Linked DNA regions of Lonchura striata. The protein of the gene in region 1 binds, or shares a complex with, the protein of each later gene. Links are inferred from orthologs where the notes say so. Each region holds a gene or a part of one and is shown on either strand. Other genes may lie near its edges. The genes, in order: CRNKL1 and CWC27.

Region 1 (15,251 bases):
TGCTTAAAAAAATAAGCATTCTGTCTATACAAGATATGACTGCTACTGCAGTTAATCTCATTTGATCTCAGTGTTTTCCTGCTGAAAGGTTTAGGGTTCATTATCTAAAACAGCCTCTACAAAAGGACAGTATATTGGGGCAAAAGCAAAAATGGCCAGGACAGAAGTCTTTTAAACCACAGAAAATAGTTTTTTAACCAATCATCAACTGGCATGACATCAGCCAGTGCTGAATCAATCAATACCTAATCAGCTCTTAATAACTAGAGATTAATCTGACACGCTCATGACACAATAAATGACAAACTAGGAGAAGAACATGAACAAGGATTTTCTGACGTTCCAAGGCAATGCAGTTGTAAGGGTTTGGCCACATGGATATTTTAGTTAAAGTTCACAAGCAAAAAAAAACCATAAAACCCTAATCAATCAGCCTTGAAGACTGATTGTAATGGGGAAGAGAGACCTGAAAGCTGTTTTGTCAAACATAGCTGCCTCAGTGGTGGTGACCATGGAGGCCACTGGATGCTATAAAAAGTGTTAACTCAGTTAAAAAGAGCCTCAAGTGCCCTACAGAGACTGCAGGAGACTAGGCTGTGAGCAGCTACAAACGATGCTGCCTGAGGAGGAATGCAAGCAAGCAAAATCTAAGTGGTCTTCCCTGTTTTCTGACTATGTGCAATTTCATCTTCTTAGGGTTTGCTTAGCAACTACTTAGTAATTTGAAAATACTGAAAAAACCCTTGTGTCTCATATGTATGAGGGAATCCTGACACCAGTGCTTGCCCTGCAGTTTCCCTCTGTGATGCCAATTACAGACATCTTGCACTCTTGCTGGAAAACCATTTTGGAAGACGGAAGTTTTGAGAAACTGGAAGAGATACTTGAAGTTTTAAGCAGAGTCTCGATGAACCTACTAGCAGCCATTTGGAGCTGCTTACACCCCTGAATGTAGCAGGGGAAGAGAAAGGATCTTATCTAGGGCATTTTAACCCAAAACTCAAACCAAACTGATGGAGGAGCCATACCTTCTTGTGGGGCAGGAGCTCAAGGCATGCCTGGTACACCTGTCTGGTTCGCTCTGCATCCTGTAAAAACAGACAGCATGTAAAACACTCTGTTGACTGCTGAGATTATGCTGAATTTGAATCTTGCAGTGACTGCAAAACTGCAGAACAGCATCTAAGTTAAGCTGGTTAGAATCTGCAATGCTTATCTACTTAGTGTGCACAGTTCAAAGGTGGTAGCTTCTGCATCAACAAGACTCACCTTTTCAAAGCAAGGTTCAGTGCTAGGAAGCCAACAAAAAAGAAGTGTCCTGGTTGTGGGAGGAAAAGTAAGTCTTTTCCTTTAACAGTGTTATGTGTAGTAGATATAATTCGCGCCATTTCTAATATGATATATGTGATATTGAATATTTGTTAGAGTATACACGTTTGTATTAGGATTTCCCCCACACCCTAATTTACAAGTAAGATGTCTGCGGAGATAGGGAAACCCCAGGTGCTGATCATCGCATAAACAACCCGAGATGGATATCATGGAAATCCTCAGACAGATACACGTGAATGCAGCCTTCCTGTAAATTTCATCAAGGGATTCAACAAACTCCAGACACTGAATTGTTCTCCCTCATTACCAAAAAAAAGAGAATCTTATTAACATATCGACTCCGAATAGAAGAAAAGACTGATTGCTGAAATCTTGGCCTCAGGTGGAATTTTCCCTATAAAAACTGCTTGTAACAGGATGGAGGTGTGTGGGCATGGGGGAAAACCTCTGCTGAAGCTGACTCCTTGTTGTACACCCAGGGCCGACCCCGGGCTCGGTTCTGTTCTTTCCTTGTGGCTGGCTAGAGAGAATTTGATTGCAAAATAAATATTTTATTTTTTCATATTAATTTAGCTGGACAAATTTTCATTTATGACAACAGACACTGAACAGGTGTTCCATACTCAGAGCAGCTCTAATGTTCCAATAAATACTTGCACAGCCTCAAAGGTTACAATGACTACAACCTGGCTGCTTCACAAACAGTTTTTTAAAATATAAAACTATTTCACAAGTTCAGGTAACAGTCTGCCATGGGCAGTTCAGCCAGGGCCACCAGAAATACCCACTCCTGATTTTGTTATCAGTGTGTTTCTGAATGAATTGGGATAAAATGAGTTTGGCTTTTTCCCTCCCTTATGCACAGAAGGGAAAACTGGAAGAGGAAAAAGTCTCTGTATTTAAATAATAAATCCTGTAGCATGTTAGTAACACAGAGAATATTTAGTTCTTGGTTTTCCTATTAAAATATCAGCAGCTATTTACTATACAAAAGGGAAACCCTGAATTGTCACTACTTGCCTTTGCCTCCAGCTCCTCATAGAGTGCATAGTTAATCCAGAGGTAGATGTATCTCTTCCAGTGGCGTTTCTCCTGGATGGGGGGCACGTTGGCAATGGCTCTCTCATACACCTCCCGCACAGTCTCGGTGTCCGTGTCGCTCTCCACCAGCCGCAGGTAGTCAAACCATGCATCGTAGTTGTGGGGGTTTGCCTTTCAGAGACGGGAATGGGGCAACAGCAAACAAGCTGCAGTCACTAAAACTAACAGAGCCTCATGCTTTACTTAGTCAGAATTTCCCCTTTAAAACAGATCACTGGAATATTAATGAAAACTGTCAGTCTTGGGGATGGTTACGGTAGAGCTTTTAGCTTAGGAAAAGTGACTTTTCTTTAAATTTTGTTTTTGTTTTGCCCTCAGCATTGTCTCAATGAAGGCAGTCCAAGCAAAGTGTCAGAAGGGATGAGGAGTGATGAAATGTGCAGTGTGGACTGAACAGCAGACAGGTGTGGCACAGGTGTTTTCTCACTAAAAGGTATTTATGCACAGGTGAGGTGTCCTATAATGGATATTCCCTAAGTAGTAACCACAAGCTAAACTGCATTATCCTTAAGGGTACCAAGCCTTGAGTTCAATCCAAAACCCTCACCTGCACAATCTAGATTAGAAAGCAGAAACAAAAAAAGCAGTGAATTTAGATACCATTCTCTTCCCCAGGGATGGAATTCTGTCTCTAAAATGAATATTCCCTTGGTGTTTTTTTGGACTGACTTTCAAGGGTAACTTGAAACTCATCAGCCTTGATATCACAAAATACTCGTGTCCCTTAAACACCAGCTGGCTGTACAGTGAGCCTGGAGGGTACCTGTCCTACATACCTTCACCTCCTCTTCATACTGAAATCTCCTCTTGCTGACAATGATGTCCTCAATTCCCCTCCTGTCTCCAAACTTCTTCTCAAAGATGGTGTAATTCTTGAAGAGATTCTGGGCGTCCTGCTTTGGAATTCTATCCAAGGCATACTTGTAGATAACCCTCACTCTTTCAAACTAAAAATATTAAATATAATTTCATAAATATTTACAAAGCAGTTTCTGTCCTCCCTGACAGCATTTCAATGAGCTTTTGGCAATATTTAATAGAATACAGAATGGTGAGACATTCCAACATAAGCAATTGTTTTAAAAGAGGACTAACACAGATCTCCCTGAAGAGTAAACTCTGAGGGGGAAAAAATAAATCTGAAAATGCCAGCCCCCATCATCTCTTATTCATTTACAGGTTTAGAATATTTAAACCAATTTAAGAGGTTGTGGTTTGGGGTTCACAGAATGTCTTCAATTTCATAACAGCCTGGGAACCTTAGAAACTGTGAAAAACATCTAGACCAATCCAGTTTTCTATCATGCAGGCCCATAACCTCTCAGAACCCCTCCAGTCTGAGGATACATGTTTGAGCCAATGCTGTTGGTCCTGGGCTTGGCAGATCTCCCTTAGAACACATTTTATTGATGGCACCAAAAGGCAACTAGAGGTGAGCAAAAAACTGTCTCCCTAATTCAGACTACAGTCATGAGGGGCTGAGAACTGCAAGTACTGCAGTGAATGTTAAATGCCTTTAGTTTGATATTCAAGGAGAAACACTGGCATGACTCAGATCAAGAAAAACTTACTTCTTTCTGGTTCTCCTCAAACTTAGCAAATGCCACATACAAGTGCTCATCCATGTGCTCCTCCCCGAAGAACTCCACTGCCCTCTCATACACCTTTCTGGCGTGGGCAAAGTAGCTGTGCTTCTCCTCGAAGTGCGCGTATTTGATCCAGTTCTTCACGTCAGGGTGAACGAGGACAAGTACAGCTATTGTTAAAGAAACAGTGCTGGCCGAGTGGCACATCCCCAGCTGTGTTCTTCCCAGGGACTACTGGGTCAAGGACTTCATCAAACACCTACCAGGATGGTACATGTGGGGAACAATAAATGCAGCTAGGAAGAAGACACTGACAGGTATAAGCATGCAAAGGTTTTGTGCCTTACTGTGAACTTAAAAAAGGATAAGGGTCAGGGAATATCTGAGGAGAAACAAACGATAGCTACAAAAGAGCTGGGTGCATGAGCAGTGCAGTTAAACAGACACTGTTGTGGTACAACCTGCAGCCACTCCACTGAATCTGGAGGCTTTCCCTAAACACGCTTTTAACACCTCCTGCTGGTTCCCAGGGTGGTGGGTCATTCCCAGCACACCACAGTGAAAAGGAGTACAGGGACGTTGCTGGACATGGAATATTTAGGAAGGAAATAAAGAATGGAGACCTTAACTCAGGCAGGAGTCACAAGACTCTGAAAAGGATATATCTCTCATAAATGCCTCGTGCTCTGTCCACCTCCTTGTATCTGAGCTCAAAGTTGATGTAGGAATGCCAGGCTTGCTCCTCTGGCTGCCACTCCATCCACCGTTCAAACACCTGGCGTGACCCAGCGACATTCCCCAGCATCTCCTCCATGTATGTGTACTTGTACCTGGAGAAAGGAGATTGAGTTTCTGCAATCACATGGGGAACATATCCATTCAGGGATTTCTGGAGTGCTTCCTAAGAGTATCCCTGAGCTCCCCTCACCTATTTCCTCCCACCCCAGAAATGTCTGTAAGCACAGCAGTGACTGGCAGTATCCAGGCACACAAACACCCTTCTCTCCCAAGGCTCTTACCACTTAAAAAGTACAAAACCTTTCCAAAACTTCAGCTTTCCTCCATTTTTTTCAGACCAGCCTGAAGAGAAGCAGGATAATCTGTATAACCCCAGAACAGCCAAATACTGTGGGGGTCTTTGGGGCTAGAAGGGGATCTCACTGCTTGGCCACCATACCAGAACTGGTTCACCCTAGGCAGGGTGGTGATGGCCCGGTCCCAGATGTTCCGGGCATGGTTGACCTGGCGGTTCTTCATCTCCATCTCGGCATATTTCAGCCAGAGGGTGACGTTCCTGTAGTCCACATCCAGAGCACGCTCGTAAATGGAACGGGCTCTGGAAAACATGAGTACAGGGCAGGTAAAATGTGCCTCCTAGACTTTAGTGTGTGTCTAAAAACGCCCTTAAGATATGCCTACAGTCACATCATCATTACCTCTGTATTTCCTTCAGGCTTTCCTCCCATTGTGCGTACTTTATCCAGTTACTGATAACAGTCCTGTTCTTTCTTATGTTATCTTCAAAAGTCTGAGGAGAAAATTTTATCTGTAAGTCAGAAATCCTTGTGCAGACAATTCACATCAAAAATGGCTTATGGGGTATTATAATAACCATCAGGAATATGCTTGCTTAGCTTAGGTACTTTCAAAGCAAAAAGCCAAGCAAAACCATGGGTAAATCTGCATGAGCAAAGCAATTCTTTCAACAGAAGATTTATAACTCAGCATTACTGTAGTGTCATTTACTGTCTTTGTTCATATTTTTATAGTGGCTGGCCAGATACTGCTGGTAATGAAGAAAACTCCTATTAATTGTGTAAATAATTACCCTTTCAGTGTTCTGAACACAGGCACAGTTTCAAGCAACACATCTGTAAATTGCAGGTTCTGCTAAAGAGTAGCATGAAAAAAGGTTTTAAAGAATTTGTGTTCAACTGGAAAGCCCACAAGGAATAGGGACTACATCTTGTTTAAGTTAAAAACAGTGGAATTTTAGTGCTTTATATGAGTGTCAAGATTAAACCGGTTTTTTTTTCTTTTTAACTGTACCTTCCTCTTCCGGAGTTTATAGTCATTTAGCTCTTCAACATCTGTGATCTTCTGCTGCGGAGGCGGTGGGAGAAGTTCGAGTTCCCTCTCCTTTGCCTCTCTCAGAAGCTGCTCCGCTGTGATCTGAACTTCGGCGGGTGCCTTGTTTTTCACCTGCAAGGTAAGGACAAGGGGGGCTCGGCTCACATTTCTTAACGCAGTACCGGCACGATCAATTTCCTCCGGCGCCTCGCGAAGCGCGGTGCCCGGCGCGGGCGGGGTCGGAGCCCGCCGGGACGCGAAGCCCGAGACGAATGGGTATCGAGGGGTCCCGGGGGGTCCCCGCCGCCCTCCCCGCCACCCACCTTCGCCACTTTGGGGATGCGCTGCTTCCCCGCTGCCGTAGACGCCATTTTTCCGCCGCTGCGCGCGCCGGCCCCGCCCCGGCACCCCTGACCTCACGCAGCACCGCCCGAGCGTCGTTGCCGCGGCAACAGCGACGCGTCCCGGTCGGCGGCGGGAGGGCGGTGGGATTGTCCGTTCCGTCCGTAGGACCGCTCGGTCTGTCTCGTCCGTGGGCTCAGCTGTTCCATCTGCGCTGTCTTTCCTGTCCTTGGGGCGCTCCGTGGCCACTTGGCTCTGCAGCGCCGGGGACAGGGCAGGTGAGTGCGCGCGCTGCTGGCCGGGCGATGCACGCGCTCGGCGGGGCGCCCCCTGGCGGCTCGGCGGTGTAGGTCTGTCCGCGTGCGTGGGCGTGGCCACCGTGCCTGAGGGGGCTCGCGGCCGGGGGTCCTGAGGCCGCCTCGGGCGTGTCCAGCCCCGGTGTCCAGCCCCGGTGTCCAACCCCCGTGTCCAGCCCCGGTGTCCAGCCCCGGTGTCCAACCCCGGTGTCCAACCCCCGTGTCCAGCCCCGGTGTCCAGCCCCGGTGTCCAGCCCCCGTGTCCAGCCCCCGCCGTACCGCCCCGGGTCCGACTCGGTCCGGCTCCGCCCCGCCCCAAGTCACCAGGGGTGCCCCTCAAGAGCCTCCCGCAGTAGCCTTCCACAGCTCTTCGCAGCCCTCCCGAGGTATGTGGGCTACAAACACCAAAGAAACCGCGTGGAGTCTTATGCTTCAAGAGAGCGTTTGTGTGAGGAGGCGGGAGGGAAGTGCTCTGAGTGCGGGAGGGGAACGCCCTCCTCTTCTTGTTCTGCTGGGTGTCTCTGGGATCCTGCTCCGCGGGACGAGTGCAGAAGTTACTGTAGGAGCAGCGTATTTCCTTACGAAAATGGTACATTTTTACTGCTTTCTCTGGCTGTGGGAGCGTTTTGGGGAGCCGGTGGAGATGCGTGTATTTTTTTTTTTTTTTGGGGGGGGGGGGGTTAACTTAAAAATTGACTGAAAACGTAGCAGTTTTCCTCAGTTGAAGTCATCTTAGTGCGCTAAACCTCAGCCGATGAATAGCCCTTTAAAGTTCGTGTTAGTTTTCATTTTTAAAATTGACGCATGTTTGCAGAGGATGTGTTCCTTCAGGTTAATTTCAGGACCTGCGTTGACGCTGGAATGTGAAAGATGTAGGAGTGCATGTAACTCTGTATTTAAAAGGTGTGAAAGTCCGAATTTCTTTTGGTTTTTCATTTTAGTTAGGAATTGAGGTGCTTGATAACTGAGCATCACATTTGCATTTGGGGTCACTGTTGGAAGTGGCTGTTGTGTTTGGCAGAGTGGTGGAATTGCTCTGCTGGTCCAGGTGTGTTGGCTTAGATTTTTTTTTTTTTTTTAAGTTAGTACTGCTATATTTTGCATATGAATTTTAAGAAATTGCGGGAAGCCATTGTTTGGTCGCTTTATTTCACGTGCTTGATTGTTGACTGGGTCACAGCAGGCTGCAGTACTGAGCGGAGACACAGAGACACAGAACTAAAGGGTGTTAGACCCGAGGGAATGGTCACAAGTGGTTTGAGGATCTGATGCCCCGGTGTGTTCTAAAGTTGCTGGACGGATCAACATATCAGCTGTGCCTGGCACATTTTCTCAATGTGGAGCCATTAAAAAAAAAACAACTTTTTTTTTTTTTTTTTTTTCTGTGTAAGAAAGCAGTAGAACTTTGAATAGCCACAGAACTTTGAATTCCTTCAGAAATTTAAGCCTTACTGTTGATCTCAAAAGAAATCCGAGAAGGAGTTTTGGACAAAATACAGTGAACTCATGTGAAACTGCTGTTTAATTGGAACATTGTGTACCTGGTTGTTTGCAGCTGAGTCTCCAGCCTGCTTCCCCTGACTGCCCACAGCTGAGCCTCCCACTGAAGGCCTTTGAGTTTGAAGTTCTTGGTGATGAGCTGGTTAGCATGCTAATGAATAAATAGGAAAGCAGCTGTAGCCTATTAAAACAATTAATTTCCTCTGTAGGATCCAGACCATAGGAGTAATTGCCTACTGCATTTCAGGTGTGCAACGAACAGGCAGTGCCTGTCTGTGTGGTGGTATGCAGGAGCCAGGCACCAAATCCATACAAACTGCCCCAATTTAGAGTTTTTATGAAAACCCACCTGAAGTGACTGTGTTGGGCAGGGGATGGCAGTGGATGGCTGGAGCCAGAAGTGTTTTCCTTCGTTCTCAGTGCAGCTTGTGGGATGGCCACAGTAACTTCATCAAGGGGAAATACAGATGTGGTCACTGCCAGAAGGACAAAGTCACATGATGTCTCGGGCATTATCAGCCTCTTCAGACCTGTCACAGAAGACCTCTTTGGAAGGATTGATGTCACTTACCTTTTGTAAGTAATGGTGTTTTAGGTTGTCACCTTTCAGAAAATTACACTTAAAATGGCAGAAAACATTCTGACCCTTGACATGGTGTGGCATAATGATTTTTTGTGCTGCTTCTAAAAATTGAAAGAAAATCTACTTTCATGTCTGTCACATGATGACTGTGCAAACCTGGGTCTCTGCCATGATGGAGAAGGTTTAATTCTGTACTAGCTTCTTTTTGTAAAAGATCAGAAGAAATGCTGTTGAAAAAAGCTGTCAGCAGACAGGCTGTGTGATAGATACTGGTGGGTCACTTATGTTTTCCCCCTTAATAGCAAAAATCACGCATAACAGCTGTTTGGGGAAAAAGACATGTGTGAAGACACATACAAATGTTTTGAAGGGAATGTTTAAGTCTTGCATCTCAAATTTACTAATATGAGGATTTGAAAATCCTCCTGAATTTTTATGATGTTAGAGCACAAATGTGTGGAACTGAAGTAACAATTCCAAGTCAGCATGTGGATGGTGAAGTTTAATTCAGGCCTGATCCTGGGAACCCTCTTGAACATGGCTAATTTTGCTGTTCAGCAGGCTGAATTTGCAGTAAGTCACTTTTCTATGTGGAGTTTCTTTAACTTGTGCAAAATTAAATTATTTTCATAGAGAATTATCAAATCTTGCTTTAACACTCTGCAATGAGAAGAATGAGGTTATAGCTCATGCTGCCTTTCTGGACTATCCGAATTGGAATATCACTGATCAGGCTGAATGGGAACCATTCCTGCATGAAAACTACACTAACAATAAATGCACTGTAAGTAAATAGTGTGATTTTAGTTGAGTTTTCATTTAAGGTTCAGGTATGGAAAATACACATAGGCATCTATGATCTGTTTCTGGTAGATTTGAGGCATTCAGGATACAGAAGGTGATGGAGTCCTTGTCAAACCCTCGTGCTGACAAGGGGAACCTTAGTTCTGCAGAGAACTTTTTCGGTGCTGGTGGGGAGACTACTGCTCTGTGTCTTGCTGGCTGCTGGTGACTTTCACATGGGCTCCTTCGGTGAGCTTGTGACTTTCTGGTAGGATCTACAGAAACAGGCCCTTACAAGTTTAGCACTCAAATGCTCCCACATCACCAAGTCCAGCTGGGAACTAGATTGTGGAATTGTTGAAAAAATACAGAAAATGTTAAACCCCAAGCACTCATAAGGTGTGCAGCATGTGCCATTAAGAGGTGTTGGCAGTGCTGCAGTTATCTCTGGGCATTTTGTTCATCAGTTGCCTATGGTCTTCTGTAGTGTTAAGTAATGGCTTGAAGGTAAACTGACAAAGTGTTTGAAAATGTGTGCTCTTAAAGGAAACACCACCAGTACAGCCAAAGAGAGTGTGCAGAAAGGACCTGTGATTTCCTAGTAATGGACTTTGTCCCTTGAGCAGCATTTTGTGGACAGCCACTTCATTCAGGCTGCAGCTTCTCTGTGGGTTCTGCTGTGCTATGATCTCCCTCAGGCTGCGTGGTGGCTCTGTGGGATCTGGTGTAGGGGTCTGCAGAGAAAAGAAAAATGAATTACTGTTCAGAACCAGTAGTGAAAAATATCTTTAAACGGGCAGCATTCTATTTTTCTAGAATGGAATTTATTTGCTAAAGGAGGTGTAGAAGAGTCAGTGTTTTATGCTTCTGCATTGGCAGAAAGCTGAACATTTTCTGGCGTATAACTTGATGAGATGTCATTGGTAAACTGTAGGTTAAATCCATGCAGGTGTGCTTTTCAAAACTGAGGTCATCTGAATGTAGGAATTCTGTGAAGTATAGTTGACCTGTCTTTTTCCTAGAGTACAGAAATAATTTCAGGGTCTGAAGTGGGAGTTGAATTGTGCAGAAAGGGATAAGTGAAGATGCTGTACTGGATTGTCTGGTTACCAGCACTATCCAGAAACAGTTACAGTCCACGTCTGGTATACTTGATGTCCTCTCGGACCTCAACAGTAATATATTTTTTTATTTCTTCCCTTTGCTTCTAAAAAAACAAACTGCCTGATTTTTAGGGATGTCTTTAGATGTTTGTTAGAATAGCTTGTTGTCCTGATGCTGGTCCATGTACTGCAGCCTCTATTGAAATCATTCTTGCTCTTAAATTGCTGAAGTTTATTGGTGCCTCTAGCTGTGGTGTTTTAATTGAATATTATACTATTCAAAAGATCTCAGGTTTTACATTTAAATTATTTTTATCTTCAAGCAGACCTTTTCTGACCCAGGACTTGTAATTAATATGCTAGAGAACAGATGATTTAATAGCCTTTGCCATTCCAGCACAGGGGTTTTCCATGTTTAGTGGAGGTGCACAAGATAAAGGTGTCTGTTAGTCTGCTCTGTTTTTGCCTGGTATTTGTGTGTCTAATGATGTCATGTTAAAATATGTAATTTTTCTTACTACCTTTAAAGAAAAACCACTTTAGGATTATTAGAAGCAGGTGAGCTTTCGGTTTGTGGTTTTTCTTTTAACCTTAAAAGAATGTCTTTGTTAGACACATGTTGAGTGTTTAATGTGGTTGGATGTTGTTAGTCAAGAATTAATACTGTTCAATATGAAATGTACAGCATGTATTGCAGTCAAACAATAGTAAACTGAGTAGAAAGAAAAAATGTTGCAGAAGCACAAAATTATATAAAGCACTTTAATCACGTAACTTTACCCACACATGCTTTGAAGTCACTTATGTATATTTTGCTGCTCCTTGAGTGCAAATCATGTATATTGGAAATGTATGTGTGTACTAATACTTGAGCTGATGGAATTAACATGAGCTGCATGGTGTGTAGGCTTTCATTCCTTGTTTTGTAGCCTTTGAACACACTCTTCATGCATCTCTTTGTGGCAAAGGAAGATTATGCAGCAGGATGTTCCCAAGAAATTGTTAGGTGAGTTCCTGTGTAGCCTTGGGTGGTGAGGCGCATGCCCTCTCCTGCTGTCAAATCACGTTTGTCAAGTCAAGAAGTCTCATCCAGGTGCCCTGTCAAATATCTGCCAGAAGAGGCCTGATATCTTAAATATTTCACCACTGTGAAACTGCTATAAAAGAGGATGTTTGAAATTTAAAGATTGGAAAATTTGAAAGAAATAAGGTAGGAAAAACTAGTCAAATTACCCAGATAAATTTCACATTATATTGTTTGTCAGAAATGTTTTAATTGTTGAGCCATGTGGACTTATGAAGGAAGGTTCTAGACACTGGAGGAAAAAAAAAAAATTATATATTAAAAAAAGCTAGCTGCTGTCTGTCATTGATGGGTGTAATAATAAAAGACTGAATATGTTTGTTATTTGTACAGGAGAGCTTTCATCTTACTACCAGAACTGGAGTTTATACTTCTCTTTATACCACCTGAGGATAGGTTAGGTAAGAACTTAAAACTCTTTTATTCTTGAGGTGAGAACAATTGCAAACCTGATTAATATGCTCTGTGAGCTTGTTGTGGTGTCCTTTTTTTAATACTGAGAACAGTTTCTAGACATGTGAAAAACATAATCTAAAAGTATCTTCTTGTGAAGATCCCATGTGCAAGAGGTACCTGTGGTTCTATGCTCACTCCAGTGGCCATTCAGCAGTCCGTCTATTCCCTGCAATCTTTAAATTTGCCAGAAACAGGACATCAGAAAGGAGTAAAGATCTCAAAAATCAATACCTACAAGTTTTGTGAAGTTTTCTGGTTGAATTGAGCCAAGAGACTTGAAATTGGTCACTTTCTCTTACTTAGCCAAGCCAGTGCAGACTGGTCTCACTTTGGTGAGACTCAGAGAAGCTGCTGGAGACATAGAAGGAAATTTGGATTATTTCTTCTAGAACAGAGGTACAAAGGTAGAGAATACATGTGTTAATCAGAGAACAGGACCACATGGAATTTTGGTCCTGAATTGTGACCAATAAACCAAGCATGCATGTAAATTGAGCTGAAAAGGGGGCTGGGACTTTTCTGATAATGCTGGCTTCTAGACATGTTGGTTCCAAGTCACACTAAAAGACTGCAGTGGTGTGTCAACTACAAAAAACAGGGCTTCTCTCAAATCCACCCTGGCAACCACATTAGCTTTCCTTCAGTACTATGAGTCCTGACAGAGATTCTCCAGAGGCATAGAGAATTGGCTGTATTATTTTTATAGGGATTGTTTTCTACCAATTTCTGATTGCTTTGAAGCTTATTCAGGTTTGAAATGCTGGATTAATTACATGACTTTGGTGATGATTCTTGCATGTTTATGCTGCTGTCATTTCAGCCTCATTGCCTAACTTAAAAGACTTGGAGCATTTTGCTATCTGTGGTTTAAGTTTGAAACTCCATTTTCCTTAGACAGTTTTGCTGCTAATTTAAAGCTTGCATAATGAAGTTTCTGTGCTGCCCCGACAGGTTTTAGTCATTCAGAGCTGGACATGGGGAATGTCTTTGAAAGGATGATGCCTGTTCCAGGCTCACCCATGGAGAGAGGTTTCACCTTGCTGGCATGCCCGAGGCATCGGTGTCACCCACAGCTGTACGTGCGCCAAGCAAGGTAACGCAGCGTCTTGCTTCCCTGAGCACATCTGACTGGGGAAAACTGCAGCATTTTCCTTCTTTATTTATGGGCTGATTTGGGCTGCATTCTGACAGAAGCCTGTGTCTGAGAGATGGTTTATTGCATATATGGAATTTTACCACATGAGTTTGAAGCAAATCTGCAGCTTGAACTCCTCCTTTTGCTTGACTTTTGAGCATTTTAAGAAAAAGGCCTGAGGCCTGACCTTTGCCACTTCACATCCTCTTGCTGTAGCTCTGGATATTTCAATATTGTAAAATTCTCTCTCATACTGACTCGATGTACAATTGTTAGGCTTTTTGAGTGTTTCTTTTGAGTTGTCTCTCACCTATAACTAAGTGAATGGACTTTTATACAGTGATGGTATCAGTAGGTGGGTTAATGCCTGAAGATTAAAAGTCTTTCCACTTGTCTTGGTTCTGACTATCATGTTTGTCTTTTTTTTTTTTTTTTCAGTTTAAGCTAATTTTTTTTTTTGGTGGCCATTGGATATTGTCAAATGTTCTTTTGCATGATTGGAAATGTCACTTAGGCCATAGCAATATTCCTGATAAGAGCTACCATCTTGTCTGGGATTTTAGTAGTTCGTTATAAAAAGTAAAAATTGCTTTAGCTTTGGTATTATTAGAAAATTAACTGGGAAACAGGTTTTCCTCTGAAATTACACAGTGATGATACAAAACTCATACTTTAGTGTTGTCCATCAGTGGGTAACAGGTAAGACTAATTTCTGTTTGCTTTCCTTTCCCTCTGCATTCATCTCTGTGCTTCACTGGCATCCATAGTAACAGTCAGTGGGAGCCCTTAGAGACTCCTCTGTGGATGTTGTCTGCAGCCACCTGCCTAGCAACATGTTCTGGGGCAGTGGGAAGAGATTAGGGTAATCTCTGTCCCCTCTTCCCCTGTTTACAGAGGGGGAAAAGCAGCTGTAAACTGATACATTGGTTTAACCATAGTTTTGGAAGATACTCTGCGTCTGGCCTTTATAATGTGAAGGATGCAGTGTGTCAGAATGCAGCCCACTGAGCTTTGATGTTTAAGGTTCTTGCTGATGTCTTATTCTTGGGTTTGTGGCCTGGAGGCAAGAGTCAAATTTGCAGCTCTGTGCTTGCACTCACAATAGAGGAAATTTGTGGCATTTTTGTATTGGAAAGCTTACTGGGTTTTGGAGGGTTTCTTTACTTTCTTAAATATTGTGAAACTGGTGGAAGATACTAGAGGTAGAATAAACAAGTTAAAACGGTTGTGTTCCTACAGAGCAGTGTGCAGAGAGATGAATGTGTATGTGCAGAGGCCCATTGACTGTCATAGGGTCATTCTTCAGGAATTGCTGTCTGTGCCTTTGTGTGTGATCTTGTCCTGTGTCCCACAGAGCAGAATGACATGGGGCACTCAAAACACTTGGCACAATGTTCCGTTTGGAGGAGGAATGTGTCTGTTGCAGACTCCACAAAATAACAGGGTTCAATTGGGATACAGTCTCGTTCTGTTACCCCTCTTTGTTTGGTTTTTTGAGGTTTGAGAGCTTATTAACAGGTTTGCCGTAGTAATGAATTGTGCTGAGGTGGTGATGTTCTGATAATAGAAAACCTCACTGCAGATTTTCCCTTGGGATACTTCCTGTGAAGGAGATGAGGGTAACCATTTTGGTTTGAAGGATAAGGAATGAGTTATTGTGAGTTTTCATTGTTGCTGGAGCTTCATTTTAGTGGAGAGGAAAAAAAAAAAGCAGAAATGAGGTCAGAATCCAAGGGGTCCCTACCCTTGATTACAAAGATGGTCTTACCCAGAGGTCACGTCCATCCAGAGCACCAAAGTCATCCAGAGACCCCCTGGCCACCTCTCCTGTGCTGGAGTCAGGCAGTGCTTAGGAACTCGGACACATTCTTTTGCCCAGC
Region 2 (15,603 bases), on another chromosome or scaffold:
CATATAAAAGAAAAAAAAAAAAAACAAAGGCAAAACCCAAACAGCATCAACACAGGAAACTAATATTAAATTGCAATCAGTGATGTACACACCACTTTCCTCACATTGCAAAAGATGCTAATAGCATCAAAAGACTTCAGAAGTTTATGAAGACAACAAGTATATTGTTAAAATGCCTCTAAAGACCATGAAAACTACTAAGTATGGAAGAGTATCATCTGATATGTATTCAAATTAGAGTAATACCTGTTATACAACATTATTTGTGTTGAAAGAAACTTTCAATTATTCTAAGTACATTGAAGAAATTATGTACTCTAAACTGTGAAAAGAGACTGAAAGGCTTTCCTTGGAGTCTCACAAATTGCAGAGAATGCTGAAGCTGTAATTTTTGTACCGTGAATATGTATTTCCTTTGGATATTTGTGAAACAAGAGCTTCATTCAGTTTCAATTCAGCTATTCCAGGCCTTGGTGCATTTTACAGCTCAGTTTGTTTCCCAGCTTAGCAGCTCAATTGGCAATGTGCACATTTAGCTTCCACTACTGGGATAGATGACTGAAGGAAACACCAAGTATCAGCTTTTGTTTCCTGGTGCGTATTGACAGAGACTGATTTGCATTTCAGAGTTTATTGTAAGGCAGGTTGCTGACTCTTCAGTAGTCTAGGAACTCGGCATGCCCACCCCACATACTACTCATGCTTTATTCTTGTCTGTCTTTCTGGAAATACACATTTCATTCTGTATCTGAGATAAGCTGACAGGGAATGGCACTCTTTTGTATTGGCATCACCTTTATATTGCAAGAGCTTTGGAGGCTGTAGACTAGCAGGGTACAATCACTACTTGGGGTCTATACAACAGCAGGAGTTATGCCAGGGTTAGCCTTCAAAAGTCTGATTCATGCAAAGTAAAGCTAATAACAATTGACATAAATGAAGAAATAGCTGAAGTTTAATACTAGAAGTCTTGTTTTGATAACCAAACCTTTACATCTATATCAAAGATGAAATGGCCATAACTGTAAAAGAACAAAATCCAAGGAAAAAGGACTTTAAAAATTGATAGCTTTTGTTTGCTTCTATTTATTTTCAGTTTGCTCATAATTATCCTGCCAAAAGAATGTGTAATTATGTTTCAGAGTCTATGACTAGATCAATTTTAGAAGATAATTTTGAAGGCTCAATCTTTTTTAGCTTCTCATTGCTCATTTCCCCTTTCAGGCCCTGAACACTGATTCATATTTGCTCTTACTGATTAATGTATGTAAGCAGAAAATGTTGTGTAAAACATACATTTATTTAAAAGGTAATAGAAAATCTCACTTGAATTTCCAAATCTGATGTAACCAAAATCACACCACAACACACCATTCTGACATTATGCATATTTAAGTCCGTATCTATCTACACAAAGGCTTGCAAACTGGAATTTACATTCTTTACATCCTACTGTAAAGGATTTCAAACACAATCACAACTGAACTAAAAATATGAGTGAAGAAGTTGCATGGTTTAGTATTAATAAACCTGAAATAGAAAAGCAGATTTTTTTCATAAAATGGTCCATCTAATAATTTGATGCACTGATGTATGCCAATAGATTTCTCAAAAAAAATATATATCTCATTTTAAAACAGCATTGCAAAGCATAAATAAACTTGCTATGAAAGGAAAATTGTCTTCTCTGCAAAAGCGAGAGGAAAAATAGACCACCATGTCAGTCACTGCTTGAACTGTCTGAACTGCTAGAAGATGAACTTTTTTCCTTTCGTCTCTTCTTCTTCTCCTTTTTATGATGCTTTCCTTTCTTAGATTTATGCTTTTTACCCTTTTCCTTTTCTTTTTTGTGTGATTTTTGTTTTTTTGACTTTGGCTCATCCTCTTCTGCTGAACTTGATGAGGAAGATCTAGGAAAAAAATGCAGATCAATATGTAATTAAAGAAGGAAAATTACACAGTAAAAATTTAAGGTGTCAGTATTTTTGTAATGTCATAAATTGAATTTGCTGTAGAATTTGTACAGTAGCATCCACTGGTAAGCTTGTATCTTGGTCTGCATGTGTAAATTAAATTATGACTTTCCTAATGTGACTTTAATGCCAGAAAAGCACTATGTTTCTAATACAGATTAAAAAATAATGGAATAGGCAAGTTGTCTGGGTTTTCAGTCTTTGAGAAAAGAAAGACCCAGAGTACAGACCATCAAAAAATAAAGTATGACAACAAGATAGAGCTTCTGTTTTTAAAATCCCCTATGAGCATTAACAATGCTAATTAATGCCTTCAGATATATGTCCCTGATGCAAAAATGTAAGAGAAACTGTTATGAAAAATTTTTACGTTCTTGCAGCTCATACTATTGTGAGGAAATAAAATGCAAGACTCTCAAAAGTCACATCACGCATCTAAGAAGATGAGGTCAGGAGTTGAACTAAGCTAAAGAATTCCCAGAACATGTAAACTCAAAGGAATGTTTGAGTATGTATAATCTTCATGAATATGCATTTGACCAATGCAATTAAAACGTAAGAAAAGTTGTTATAGTTAACCACATGCATCTGGCTATGGCTATGCACCCAGCACTGTTACTTTTTTTTTTATTCCTTATTAAACTTTTAAAAATTTTATAAGAGTGGGCCTCATTACTCACAAAACTGACAACCAGATTGACTCTTTTCTATTCTATTTCTTCACAAGTGTAAGGGATGTCTTCAACAGTGGAAATTTGAACTACACAGTGTAAATAGGGAAAAGGAAAAATGCAAATACAACAGGTATTAAATCCTGTTTCTTTGTTTTGGAGGGAAATCTTCATATACATTTTGCAGTGTTACCTTACAGAGCAGTTTCTGGCATATTCTCTTATCAATTGTCTTAATGATGAAACATTAGTCTCATCTATATTGTCACTTGAAAAAACCCCAAAAAAGTAAGTCAGTCCACAGGCCAGAATCTAGATTCATAATACATTGGATATTATGACATTTTAGGCTTCTATGTTAACAGGTACATAAAAACTCAACACCTGTTCAATTTTACAGAAGTTTCCCTTTTGATAACTGCGAGTCACTCAGAGCCTGCAGGTGTGCTTACATATGTGTGTGCCTGCAGGTATGTTTACATATGCATGTGTGCACACAAAGAACCCTACAGTCTCTGAATTTCAGAGAGCCTTCTCCAGACTGGCTAGGTTGGGGACCAGCCCCACAATCCTCCTGGCTTGTTCTTTTCCCATCACAGCTTGCTTAGAGTTGGACAGTCAGGGGCAGTTCTGCTTTTTCTGATCTGCAGACCTGCAGCTTGCTAGAGCTTTCAAAACTCCTATGATCCCAACTCCACAGCAGAAAGCCTGTGACTCCAGCATTAATCTAAGAACATTTACCTTACCATTATTTTACCAATGCTTTATCATTAGTCAGTTCTCACTGGAAAAAAGAAAACTTTTCAAATGGAAGAAGTACTTGCAAAGAAAGTTGCATCAATAGAAGCAATATTTTCTGACAAAACACAAGTCTCAAAAATATTTCTAAAGCTGTGTTTTCAATAGAAGTGTGTGAAGGTTACCTTTTCCTTGGTCTTTTTAATTTTGTTTTCTCTTTGCTTTTCCTTTTTTGTTTCTTTTTTTCTTCCTCTTCATTTAAATCTATAGGTAGAAAGTTAAAGTTTACAGAACACTTGTCTGAATTAAGATCAGCATTAAAAAAGTAAGTTCAATAGCGATGTCAAGTTACTATAGAATTCTTGTTAAAAAGCTTTCTTTTCCTTCCCTCAAATTCTGGTTAGTATAGTAACTTCAGAAATATATTGCAGTAGCAGCAGGACTTTTATAGACAACTTATATTGACATTGATCTAAGCACTAAAAATGAAGGAAGTCCTGTAAAATGTAGCAAAAAGACCTTTTCCTATAAATTTACACAAGATTCAGGTTTTCATATCTCTTCTTTATCACCAAAAGGGTGATAAAGTTCTGGATTGGTCTGCCTGGGGAGGTGGTGGAGTCACCATCCCTGGATGTGTTTAAGAAAAGACTAGATGTGGCACTCAGTGCCATGGCTTAGTTGAGCTGTTAGGGCATGGGTTGAACTCGATGATCTTTAAGGTCTCTTCCAACCTAGTGATTCTGTGATTCTTCTGTATGTTAACAGTTTTAACATTTAACATACATGTCCAAAGTCTGAAAACTAGAACAAATAAAGAAAATAATATTCTGTTAGGCTTCCCTGAGTTACCTCCACACATCCCTATTTCATGTTTCACAAACAGCAATGCTGTGAGACATAGCTGTTTTTCCTGCAGATACCCATCTTCAATAACCTTAGGAAAAAACCCAACCTTTACATTCAAAAATACATAACAAGTGGTAAATATTTTTTCCAAAGAGACTTATTGCAAGGAAGTACCATTGCAGTACCAATTCAACACTCTTGATAAAGAGCCCATCCACTTCTTTTGACGTGTACAACTATAGAGTTCTATCTATCCCTTTTCCTTTCTAAATAGCATTTTCCGTAGGAACTAAATGTCAGCACATATGAAAACAAAAGAACAAAATATAATGAAAAACAGAAGGGTGGAGGAGAATAATGTTCATTAATTTACAACACATTGAGGTGAAACAAACTCCCCTTCTTACTTAGGTGCACAACATCTTTGGAGTCCAAATTCAAATGAACTCAAGTATCTGATAAACAATTAATCTATTCTCACTTTGACAAGGAGCTGATACTCAGACCTTCCAAATATAGAACAGTACTTCTCAAAATACAAATGACTGAATTCCAGTCTACTAGCTGTTTCAGTCAAAATCCTACTTAGGAACTGGAGAGAAATTCAAGTGTCATATTTCTCAGTAGTTAGAAGATGTTTATACTATATGTCATAATCAGAAGATTAACTCAGAACACGCATGTCATTTTATTCTAAGCTTCTTCTTAGTAAAATATCAATCAATCTCTTGTATTTAGGAGCTCCTTTTGAGATATTCCAAACACATACATTAGTAACTTCCTATACAAGGAATTAATCATAATACTAAAAGAGTGTGGCTGTGTCAAACCTCTGAAGTCTAAACACAAAGTAAAAGACCTATTTTTAAATCACAGGCCAAAAGAACTAAAAGGAGTTATCAGAAAGGATAAAATGAGAGTCTCTGCATGTCAGAAGACTATTATCCAAAACCCACAAAAAACACCTTACTCTTTTTTTCACGCATGGCTTGTAATCTCTGTAGTTCCTCTTCCTCGCTGTCTTCGCTGCTAGTGCTGCTAACATCCAAAACAATATCTCTTTGGGGATCTACTCGGAGGAAGTTTCGACATTCAAATGTCAGATGACCAGCTGAACAAAATAAATATACAAAAATAAAAATTACAATTTACCAAAAGAACATCAAAAACAAAAGAAAATTGATTTTTGTATTATTCAGTTTTGAGAAGTGAAAGGAAAAAAGGGAGTCTGTGATCTGTGAAAGGGGCAGGAGAATACTTACTTTGAAAAACTCTCCAAGAATTTGATAGAAGAGCATTGCACAACCTATTTAAGAGTGCTTTATGGCCTCTCTCCTATTCTGCTAATTTGAAGATTTTTTTCAACTTTAGTTTCTATTTTTTAATGAATGGTCTTAGGTACTTTCTTAAGAAATTATAGCATGAAATATTTAAAAAACTACAGAAAGTATTGCATTGCTTAACTCCGTCTAGTGAAATGGTAGAATCCTATTTACTCATGAGACATACTCTTTAACAGCCAGCACTTAATACTGACTAAATTACTGCCTGACCAGTATTTTTTGGTTTTTAAGTTACATCTTGATAATCATGACCAGCTAGAAACCTTGTGCTGAATACTCATTGAAATTTTTAAAAAGTAAAATTTAAAAAAATGGAAGATATGGTTTGGGAGACACAGTAATTCAAGTAGTAATTGAAATAAGCTCATGTTCTTAGTAAGGATGATAACAAACTACCTACACCTTGAAGACAGATATTTTTAGGAACATATAAACATGGATCACATGATATGACAAGTTTCCTTCTCTTTCAGAAAATTTCTGATACTTGCTGCATGTAGAAAGAAAGCACTAAATCTATATTAATATACACTGTTCTTTGAAGGAACAGATACACAAAGCAAGTCATTGACAAAATTTGTCGCAAAAGCCTGAAATGAAAGAATGAAGAAATTTTTTTTCCTGTCACCCTGTAACACTCATATAAAGAATCCGAACAGCTTAACTCACTGAGCTAAAAGTTCAAAACAATTCAGTACAAAACAGCATCCATTCCTCCAATGTTCTAAAAATAAGAATCAGTGATTAAAAATTTAAAATCTTCACTAAGACCTGTCTCCATTAATCATGAAAGTAGCCACAGACATTTACAACTAGTGTATAATCCAAAGCATGAGCTAAATGCCAATTGCAGAACTTGTAAGCAATAACGGTAGCTGTTTCTTGAAATACACAATGCACAAAATAATATTTTCTTAGCGTAAATGATTATACAGATTTTAAACTATTGTTTTTTCTAGTGAATTAGACTGGACTTAACTTCAACTGAAATGCCTGCTTCTTTGCAGTCAGATTCAGAAGAAGCACAAGTGCTTATATCAGTATATATCAAAGAAGGCACTTTCAATTAAGTTTGAAAAAAGTTTCTCAAGTAATTGCATTGAAATGTAGTATGTACAAATATAATAGTATAATTTTTTTGCTAAGAAACTCAAAGAGTAATGATAAGTGACATAAACCAGAAAATGAACATGAAATAAACAGAAGAAATATAACATAGTACTTTAAACTGACAAATGTCTGGGCAACAAAGGAGAATACGTCTTTCCTTTTTTTCCCCCCTCTCCTCAAAAAGCAGTTCCAATCAACACCATAAACTGAAGAAAACACTGTAACTTCATATTGCTTATTACAGACTTACGGTAGCCACACTTCTTGCATCCAGCTCTGATATTATCCTTATTTCCACCTGAAAGAGAAAATTTCACCAATTAGGTGTTGCTGAAGAGAGCCTTCAAGTCTCTTTCAAATGTTTCTTGACAATGTCAATACATAGACAGAAGTGATTACCCCTCAAGAGTATTAAGTACACCAAGATCTCTTAAAAAAAACTGCACTTCTAAGCCTACTTTTCTGTGCAGTAATCTATCAGAACACTCTTGACTAATTTAAACTGCTAGAGATCATTTAGTCTTATCTATTTTAATGCCAAATCCTAATTTGATTTATTGTGACCTTTCCACTTGTTTAGTTACAGTATGAACACAGTAAGAGATATCTAACATTCCAGGGATCTGTAGCACATAATATAAATTCCAGCACTGCAAGGATGTTGACAGACATTCACTGGAAACTCTGAAGTGATTCATATTTTAATTACAAGAACAGACCTTACAAAGCAATTAAAAAGACCAAACCAAATCAAAAAATAAATCCTTGAAAACAAAGAAGGAAATTAAAAAGTCAACAAATTGTTAAATTATTCTGAATCCAGACAACATGACACCAAACACAAAAAATGCAAGAAATCAGAGTCAGCAACAGAAAAATCTGGATTCTAAGCAGGAAGAAGATCTGAATAATGCAAATTTTAGGTATTGAAAGTGTGTGATTCTCACACGTGAGACAACAGTTAAGTGAAACAGACACCGCAGGACACAATTCAGGAGACGCACCAGGGATTTGCCCCACCCCCCAACAGATCAATCTTAATTTTAATCATTAAAGCTATTGGTAATGAAAGTGACAACTGAATTCCCAGAATCAAACCATTCTGTCTTCCAACTGAATACAGTAGAAAAACCCCAGCAACTTAAGCAGTCATATACTATCAGAAATTGAGCACATTGGTCACATTAATTTAAACTATGACTTACTGAAACAAGCACTGTTTTTAGAAAATTCTACTCAAAATAACAGAAACCTTCAAACCCCAAGTTGAAAAATATACCTTGGAAACTTGGACAACTCAAGTGTATGCCTTAAAGAGTGTTGGAAAGCCAAGCAACAAAGATCCATAATTCCACTATAACAGGTGATTTTCAGCAGATCTCAAACCCTCAGTATTACATATCCCCTTCAAGGTCAGCAGTGTTCAGGTACCTGTTTCGTGCCTACCTTTATAAGGACACCCATGAGGGATACAAGGAGGTAGGGAACATAGAAGAAAGAGTCACAAAATAAAAAGCAAAAGCATACCCGCAACCTGCAATGTCACATCAGAAAAACACTCAAACCAGCATTTGCTTGTTCACTACTCCTTGAGACTAGAAAACAAGATCACTCAAGCCACCTACTTTGTCCCAATTTTCTGAAAAAATTCTGAGTCAACCTCAACCCCACTGCACAGCTGACCTACATAAAGAAGGATTTGGTATTCCAGCCAAGCGAGGTCAGTAAAGTCATGTGCACACTAGAGACATCTCCCGTGTGAGGCAGGCTTTCCTTTCAAGAGATACCCAGCAGATGACAAGAATGTAAATATTGTCGTCAAATATTCCTACCAGATTCCTGCGACTGAAATTTTGTTACTGTTTTAGGCTTTAAATAATAATGTTAGAAGCAGGAGCTTAGACTAGATGAAATTTTAGCTGACTAAAAGCAAACTAATTGCAAGAAGCTTCCTTTCTCACTCCTTCCCATATCTTAATTCTCAAGACAATTAACAAGTGGTACAGAACTAAGGACTTCATTCACTGGAGAGTAAGACTGAAAAGAAAACCTGTGGAAACCTTTGAATGCAAACACGTCTTCCTCAAAAACCCCTTCTAGAATGGGAACAAGCTTATGAAGGCCTTCGTTTAATCAGAGAAGCAGATCACCAAGGCTCAGGCCTGTTCGGCTGTTCTCGAACCAAACACTGCCCTGTTTTCAGGGCAAGAGCACACTACGGAGCAATGGCCAACACAGACCTGAACACCTTGCACATCGCGCAGGTGTTTCTGCCTGCCCTGACCCACAAGAACCATCTACTGGGACACAAGCATTAGGGAAAAGCCAAGTCTGCCAGCCACCGCGCTCTCGCTCCAGCCTCAGAGGAGGCGATGGCAGCGCGGCGCCGGGATCCCGAGCCTCGGGACGGGCCCCGCAGCGCCCCCGGCTGCCCCTGCCAGCGCGGGCACGGCCCCACCTCATCCATCTCCAGCTCATCTCCACCTCCACCTCATCCATCTCCAGCTCATCTCCACCTCCACCTCATCCATCTCCACCTCCATCTTCCTGCCGCTGCCCCGCCAGCCCGGACCGGAGCAGCGCCCGCCGCCTCCCACACGCTTCCCAGCGCCGCGCACAGCAGCGCGCCCTCCCCGCCGGCTGTCCCGGCTGTCCCGGCCCCGCCGCTCGTTCCCGTGCCGGGCTGCGGGGCCGGGGCCGGCCGCCCCTCACCCGGCAGAGCCATCGCGCCCTTCTCGCCGCGCTGCACCGGCCCGCAAGCGCAGCGACGCCTGTCCCCACCGGAAGGCTTTGCCCGGCGCACTCCCGGATCGTACCACTCCCAGGGAAGGCAGGGGACCTCAGCGCCCCTAGGGCGGGAGCAACGCTGGGAGACCCGAGAGGTGTGGAGAAGCCTGCCGACATTTCCCCAGACACGTTGTTTCTCAGTGAATCTCGGAAAGCCTCTGGCCGAGGACTCGTTCCTTCATCCTTTCTTCGGCTTGTGCAATTTCGTCCCCCCTCCCCTGGGCTGCATAGGGGCGCCCAGCATGGCGGGCGGCTCGGGGCGGTAGGAAGTGCTGGCGGCGGCGAAGCGGGTCCGGCTGCTGGGGAGGGCTCGCCGGCCGGGCCGCTCCTTTCCCCACCATGAGCAACATCTACATCCAGGAGCCGCCTACCAACGGGAAGGTGAGGCTGCCTGGGTGAAATCCTGGAGAAGCTGTATGTTGTAGGGTTATGGGGGGACAGGCGAGAGGAACACGAGCTGGGGTGGTGGTGATGATAGTGATGGTGGTGGTGGTGGTGGTGATTGGGGGTGGAGAGGTCGTTGTTTCTGTGGTTGATTGGTTTGGTTAAAGTTACTTCTTTGAGGCTGCCAGAGTCAAAGCATGTGGCGTGATGTTTGGAGACATAACACAGAGCAGTCCTCGGAGTTTTTAATTTAATTTTTAATTTAATTTTAATTTAATTTTTTAATTTAATCTGCTTCGGATTATAGTTTACCTCCTTAATTTTGTTATGATCTCTCACTGGATATTATGTTCCTTGTAAGGGCAATATCTGGATATTTATGGCTTTTTTTCCCCCCATGCTGCTCAATATAGAAATGATAAAGGGTATCTAAAGTTTCTGTGAAGCATCAGCCATCTTATGTTATGTGTTATGCTATGTTATGTTATGTTATATTATGTTATGTTATTACAACTATATTATACATCTTTATTATGCATATTGATTCAGAGCTGTATCTCAAGTTCTGGAAATGCTAGTTAGAACTAACAGTAGCTACCTGACATACTTAAATATATATCACTCTTACAAATATAACAAATTCAGATTTAATTTTTTTGGGCAGTTTTACCTTTGATCAGTGACTAAGTTACAGTAAACTGAGTCTTCATTTATCTGTGTGTTTATAGGTTTTGCTGAGAACTACTGCAGGAGAGATAGATATAGAATTATGGTCAAAAGAAGCACCAAAAGCATGCAGAAATTTCATCCAGCTATGTATGGAAGGTAATGATTGAATGGGGTGGGGAGCTGTTGAAATTAATTACTACGTGATCTTTGTGCCCTTTCTGTAAAATAGAGGTCATAATTATATTTTGACTTTAGTATGTCAATAGGTTTATTTGTGTTCAGAAATTATTAGTTAACACTCTGGCAATGTTTTTCAAGGTTACCAATGAAGCTAGTGGAGAAAAAAAATAAAAATTTTGGATGATTTTCTCAAATTAAGCTGATGACCTAGAATTGAAACATTGTCTTTCTGAGTCTTGAGAGGCTTTCTTTCAGCAAATGTCTACAAATTATAACAACATCAGTGTGTGCATAAAATGGCAGTGATACAATATTGGCCATTCTCCAAAACTGTCATTTCTGCATCACAATTTACACTATCATTTCTTTTTTCTTTTTTCCCTGAGCACTCCTTATGTTTCAGTTACTGTATTTTTTGATTGATAAAAGCTCTGTAAAACTTTCCAGCAAACTAGTGGGTTCTTGAATGAGAAGCTCCCTTTTGAGAAAACTGTAACAAAAATCTATGAAAGGCTTGATGCCTTTATATGTTTTCTAACTGGTATTATTCTCCTATTTAAGCATTTGTAAAATTGTGAAGAGTTCTTTTTGCCTTCATATGTTAAACAAAAATAGCAGTCTAAGCTTTGTGCCTCCAGCATAGATCCAGTCTGTTTTGTCCAGTCTCTTTTCCTGAATGTTGAGACTTTTTGCAATGGTAAAGGAATTTCTAAGCCCATGATAAAGGTTCATATGTGCTCAGTGGGTTTAATTTAAGTCTGATTTTTTTTAATTACTGTAAAGCATCTTGTGCTTTATAATACATTTAAGTATTTCTCATTAATATCCTAGCATATAACCATCCATGACTGTGTCTAGTTATGCTGCAACATTTGCACACCCTGCCTTATCTTGCAACATGCTACAGAATTATTTATTATTATTATTATATCAACCAGGGGTTTGATTCAGGTAAAGTTTTGTTTTCAATCCTTTTGTTTTCTTATGATCGTATAACCTCTATCAGATAGATAAAAGAAGATATCTTAGAGAGCAAAATGTACCACATATTTTATTCTGCAAAAATTACCAGTTTCAATACAGTGCAGGTGATTAAAGATGTTCTATGCTAGTGAGTGAAAGTGCAAATCATCTGTATATGGGTATTGCTAATGGCTAATGTTGTATGTGAGATCTCATCCAGGATACAGCACCATATTTCTAGTTCTCCTTTAAAATTGGTGCATTTTGATAGTGTCATTCCACTAATAAAATCTTAAAAGTTGAAAAGAATGTAATTCATCAAGGTCATCTTGTCAGTGATGGGCAGGATTTTTTGCAAAAGAAGCATGTGATACCACAGGTTGTGATTTCGTAAGTCTGTGGAGAATAGAACGGAAACAAATAGAAGCCAACAGTGGAATCTAGTTGCAGTATTTGCTTTCTGGAACTTCAGTCTCTGGATATCACTGCATGATCTGTATGAAAGTTTGGGTTTGAGACCACTTACATGTATTTAAAATATATATATTTCTTTTTCTTTTTTAGAGTATTACAATAACACAATATTTCACAGAGTAGTGCCTGGCTTTATTGTGCAAGGGGGTGACCCCACTGGTACTGGATCAGGAGGAGAGTCAGTCTATGGAGCTCCTTTCAAGGTGTGTATCTGTTACTTACACATTAATTTGTTGGGTATTCTCTATCCTTTGTTATTCCTACCAAGTTCTGAAAAATCAAATGTTACATGAAACACATACTTGAGCAGTAGTTGCCTTCATGTGCTACTTCAGTGTGTTTGAATATCCCCTTCTAAATTGAGAGTTCTTAGATCTAGCTATGCTGGTATAATGATAAACCTGGGGGCTCAGATCCTGAGCAAAGCTACACACAGGCTGAGCAGCTGTGTTCTGTTCTGTCTGACTGTTTTATTTCAGGTGGGGCAGGCACCTTTAATTTGTGACTGAAGCTGCAAAGCCTGTTTCTAGGCCTTCCAACTTCTTGCTGACTTTTGCATTTCGCACAAGCCTGAAGTTTGTGGGAGGGAATGGTTCCTGAGCAGAGAACAAAACAAAAATTACCAATATTGTAGTAGCATTGCTGCTTCAAAGTAGTGGTATCTCAGTATTGCAGTGTTTAGAATTGTGATATTGCAGTGGTATTCAACATGTTCGCCTTGCTTTGAAAGGAGTCTTATTTTGTCTTCCTAATTCTCGACAATGTTCTTCCTATGGATTTTTGCATTACTCTACTATTACAAACTGTTATTGTGCTTTTAGTAACTTTACATGAATTAGGATTTAAATTCAGTTTTCCCATAAATACAGTGATTGTCAAGAATAGTATTTTTGCGAGAAGTGTATGAAATGCAGTTACTTTTTAAAATTTTCTTAATATTGGAGGATAACAAATGCAAAAAAAAATAATGAATAACAATTGATTTTTAGGCAATAACTGAAAAAAGATAAAATTAACAAGACAGAACTTAAAAGTTTTTTGATTAGTAATGTGTCTTTATGTTATTGATAATTTAGTTTCTAATTTTTTGTTTGGTTTTTGTTAATTGTTGGTTTATGGTTTCTTTTGAAGATTGTTCATTTGTTTCCATCATGAGAGGCACTAGGGATTAGAAATACTGACAAAAAGTAATTTTTACTGCTCATAGTAGGAACGTCTAAGTATAATTCTAGCATTGAGCTTCAAAATACTTGGGATTTATTACTGTCTGAATTTAAAAGAAAATTAGCAGCATTTTTTGTGTGTGCATGTTGATGTAAGTAGTGTCACTCCTATCTCCTATCATGCTGCAGCTAAAGGAGTGAAAAGATAGCTTAATACTGAACTCATTCTCTTTTCTATCCTGCTTTTACCAGGATGAGTTCCACTCACGATTGCGATTTAATCGAAGAGGACTTGTTGCTATGGCAAATGCTGGGCCCCATGATAACGGGAGTCAATTTTTCTTTACATTGGGTCGTGCAGATGAACTTAACAACAAGCACACAATCTTTGGAAAGGTCTGTTACATTAATTGGAATCCCAGTTTAAGTCTGACAGAAGCTACTACAAGTTTCTCTGAAGGCTGGTTTAGTATTGTTTGCTGCTATGTGCATTTGAAATTTATTTCAGTGCTTTCTATGCTTTCTCCATTCTCTTCGTTTCTTATATTTGGCATATATTTCTTATATGTTTCTGTGGGTTGTTCCTGTTATTATCTATCTTGCTTTTGTTATTCTTCTAAATTGTATTTTCATGTTGTGCTGCCTGTAAATAATCTTATTTGTATTATTATGGCTCTGTAATTAATCAGTTCATCTAATACTAATGACATGTTAGAAAATTCTATTTAGAATTAATTAGATTCTAATTACCCAAGAAGGGTCAGGAAGATGAAATACATGAGATTAATTTACCACTCTCATTATTTACTTAAAAGAAAACAAAGCAAACATTTTTTTATTTCAGTGGTTTTTGTTTTCCTGTTTCGTAGCTCACAGTAAGACTTCAACATCTTTATCTGCATACATTCTCAAAACTACCTGTATTCCTTCAACTTTTGCCATTAAATTTTAAAACCCAAACTTTTGTTTGAGTTTTAAAATTTACTAGTACTGCATTGTGTACATTTACAAGTACATTACATTGTACTTGCTGTCTTTTAGAAGTCTTACATGCTTACAGTATTTCCTATAGCACCTGTACTTTCAAAATTTTTTACATAATAATTGTCTTGTATTTTGAAGAATAAATAACACAAATTACAGTCTTGCACTTTCAAGCGTTTCTTTGTAAATTTGCCAGGTTACAGGGGATACGATATATAATATGTTGCGTCTGGCTGAAGTAGAGGTTGACAAGGAAGAGAGACCTCTCAGTCCACACAAAATAAGGAGTAGTGAGGTGAGTATGTTCTGTTTGAAATGTGACATTTAAAATTTTTTTTTGTGCATAGTCTTCAGAAAACTTGGCTTGTCCTTTTGCATATTGTTTTAAAATATCAAACCACTTAATTACAAAATATTTGCTAAAGACATGTTTAAAATACTGTTTTTTTAAACAGGTTTTGTTTAATCCTTTCGATGACATTGTCCCACGACCAAACAGAAAACTGAAAAAAGACAAACCAGAAGAAGAAACTAAAAAGTCTAAAGTAAAAGGCACAAAGTAAATATATGCAAGAGAAATGGTGGTTCATTTTCTTTCACCTTTAATTTGTACCTTGGCAAGTTTTTGCTTCCATTTATGCGTTTGAAGTCCTTCCTTGTTTCTGGGAGGTGGGGTCATGCAAATCTAGTTTCTCTCACTGAAATGTTACTGTGCATCTGCTGAGCTGTAACTGTTTCATGCACAGTGTAGTTTTTTGAAATAATAGCAGGTAGTTTCTTTCCTATGTCCTGCTATGTGCAGTCATCTGAGATGACACTGCAGTTAAAACCTCCTGGTGGGAATAACTGGGTCACAGCTCAGTTGTTTGGGATTTTTTAAACTTATTTCCTCATATATCATTTCTCCCCCATTGTAGAACTTAGCAAGAAGCAGGCATTTTGACATGGGAAATTTTAGTTTCTGTGAATGAAAATTCATAAACATGTGATGAAAAGTAATAGGAATGTTAAAGTGGGCATGCTGTCAGTTCTGCTGCATAAAAATAGAACATGTTGCAGCTGACTGGTTCCAACAAAGTGAACAATTAACTCTTGAAAAATAAATTACAGCTCATTTTTTTTAATTGCATTCTGTGAATGTGTACACATTTGATACATTTCTGAGCTTTCATATCTTGAAAATTTGTGTCTTGAATGCTGCTCTGTTGAGAAAAAACTGCAACAGAACTGTCAACATTCAAGAATCTGGGAAAGTGAGTCAAGACAGGATTTCTTAAACTGTCTTAACTGATGTTGTATTTCAGGAGTATAATAC

Evidence for each region.
Region 2: CRNKL1 (region 1) and CWC27 share a complex: the UniProt entries of both Homo sapiens proteins name them as parts of the minor spliceosome. The link is inferred for Lonchura striata from reciprocal best matches to the Homo sapiens genes CRNKL1 and CWC27.

Annotation. Positions count from the first base shown.
Region 1 is NC_134605.1:28,347,787-28,363,037, reverse strand, and holds the start of CRNKL1 (crooked neck-like protein 1), read right to left. Parts: upstream 6,547-15,251; 5' UTR 6,461-6,546; coding exon 6,413-6,460; intron 6,222-6,412; coding exon 6,069-6,221; intron 5,548-6,068; coding exon 5,456-5,547; intron 5,356-5,455; coding exon 5,197-5,355; intron 4,850-5,196; coding exon 4,683-4,849; intron 4,184-4,682; coding exon 4,005-4,183; intron 3,381-4,004; coding exon 3,210-3,380; intron 2,545-3,209; coding exon 2,353-2,544; intron 1,089-2,352; coding exon 1,029-1,088; intron 1-1,028. Other genes in the region: CFAP61 (cilia- and flagella-associated protein 61), read left to right, coding at 8,661-8,803, 9,444-9,594, 11,626-11,702, 12,114-12,181, 13,188-13,329. UniProt on the Homo sapiens protein: Involved in pre-mRNA splicing process. As a component of the minor spliceosome, involved in the splicing of U12-type introns in pre-mRNAs.
Region 2 is NC_134642.1:28,453,200-28,468,802, reverse strand, and holds the start of CWC27 (spliceosome-associated protein CWC27 homolog), read left to right. Parts: upstream 1-9,680; 5' UTR 9,681-9,810; coding exon 9,811-9,852; intron 9,853-10,583; coding exon 10,584-10,680; intron 10,681-12,231; coding exon 12,232-12,344; intron 12,345-13,556; coding exon 13,557-13,700; intron 13,701-14,484; coding exon 14,485-14,583; intron 14,584-14,743; coding exon 14,744-14,847; intron 14,848-15,603. Other genes in the region: protein SREK1IP1, read right to left, coding at 1,721-1,910, 3,568-3,646, 5,202-5,342, 6,935-6,982, 9,397-9,409. UniProt on the Homo sapiens protein: As part of the spliceosome, plays a role in pre-mRNA splicing. Probable inactive PPIase with no peptidyl-prolyl cis-trans isomerase activity. As a component of the minor spliceosome, involved in the splicing of U12-type introns in pre-mRNAs.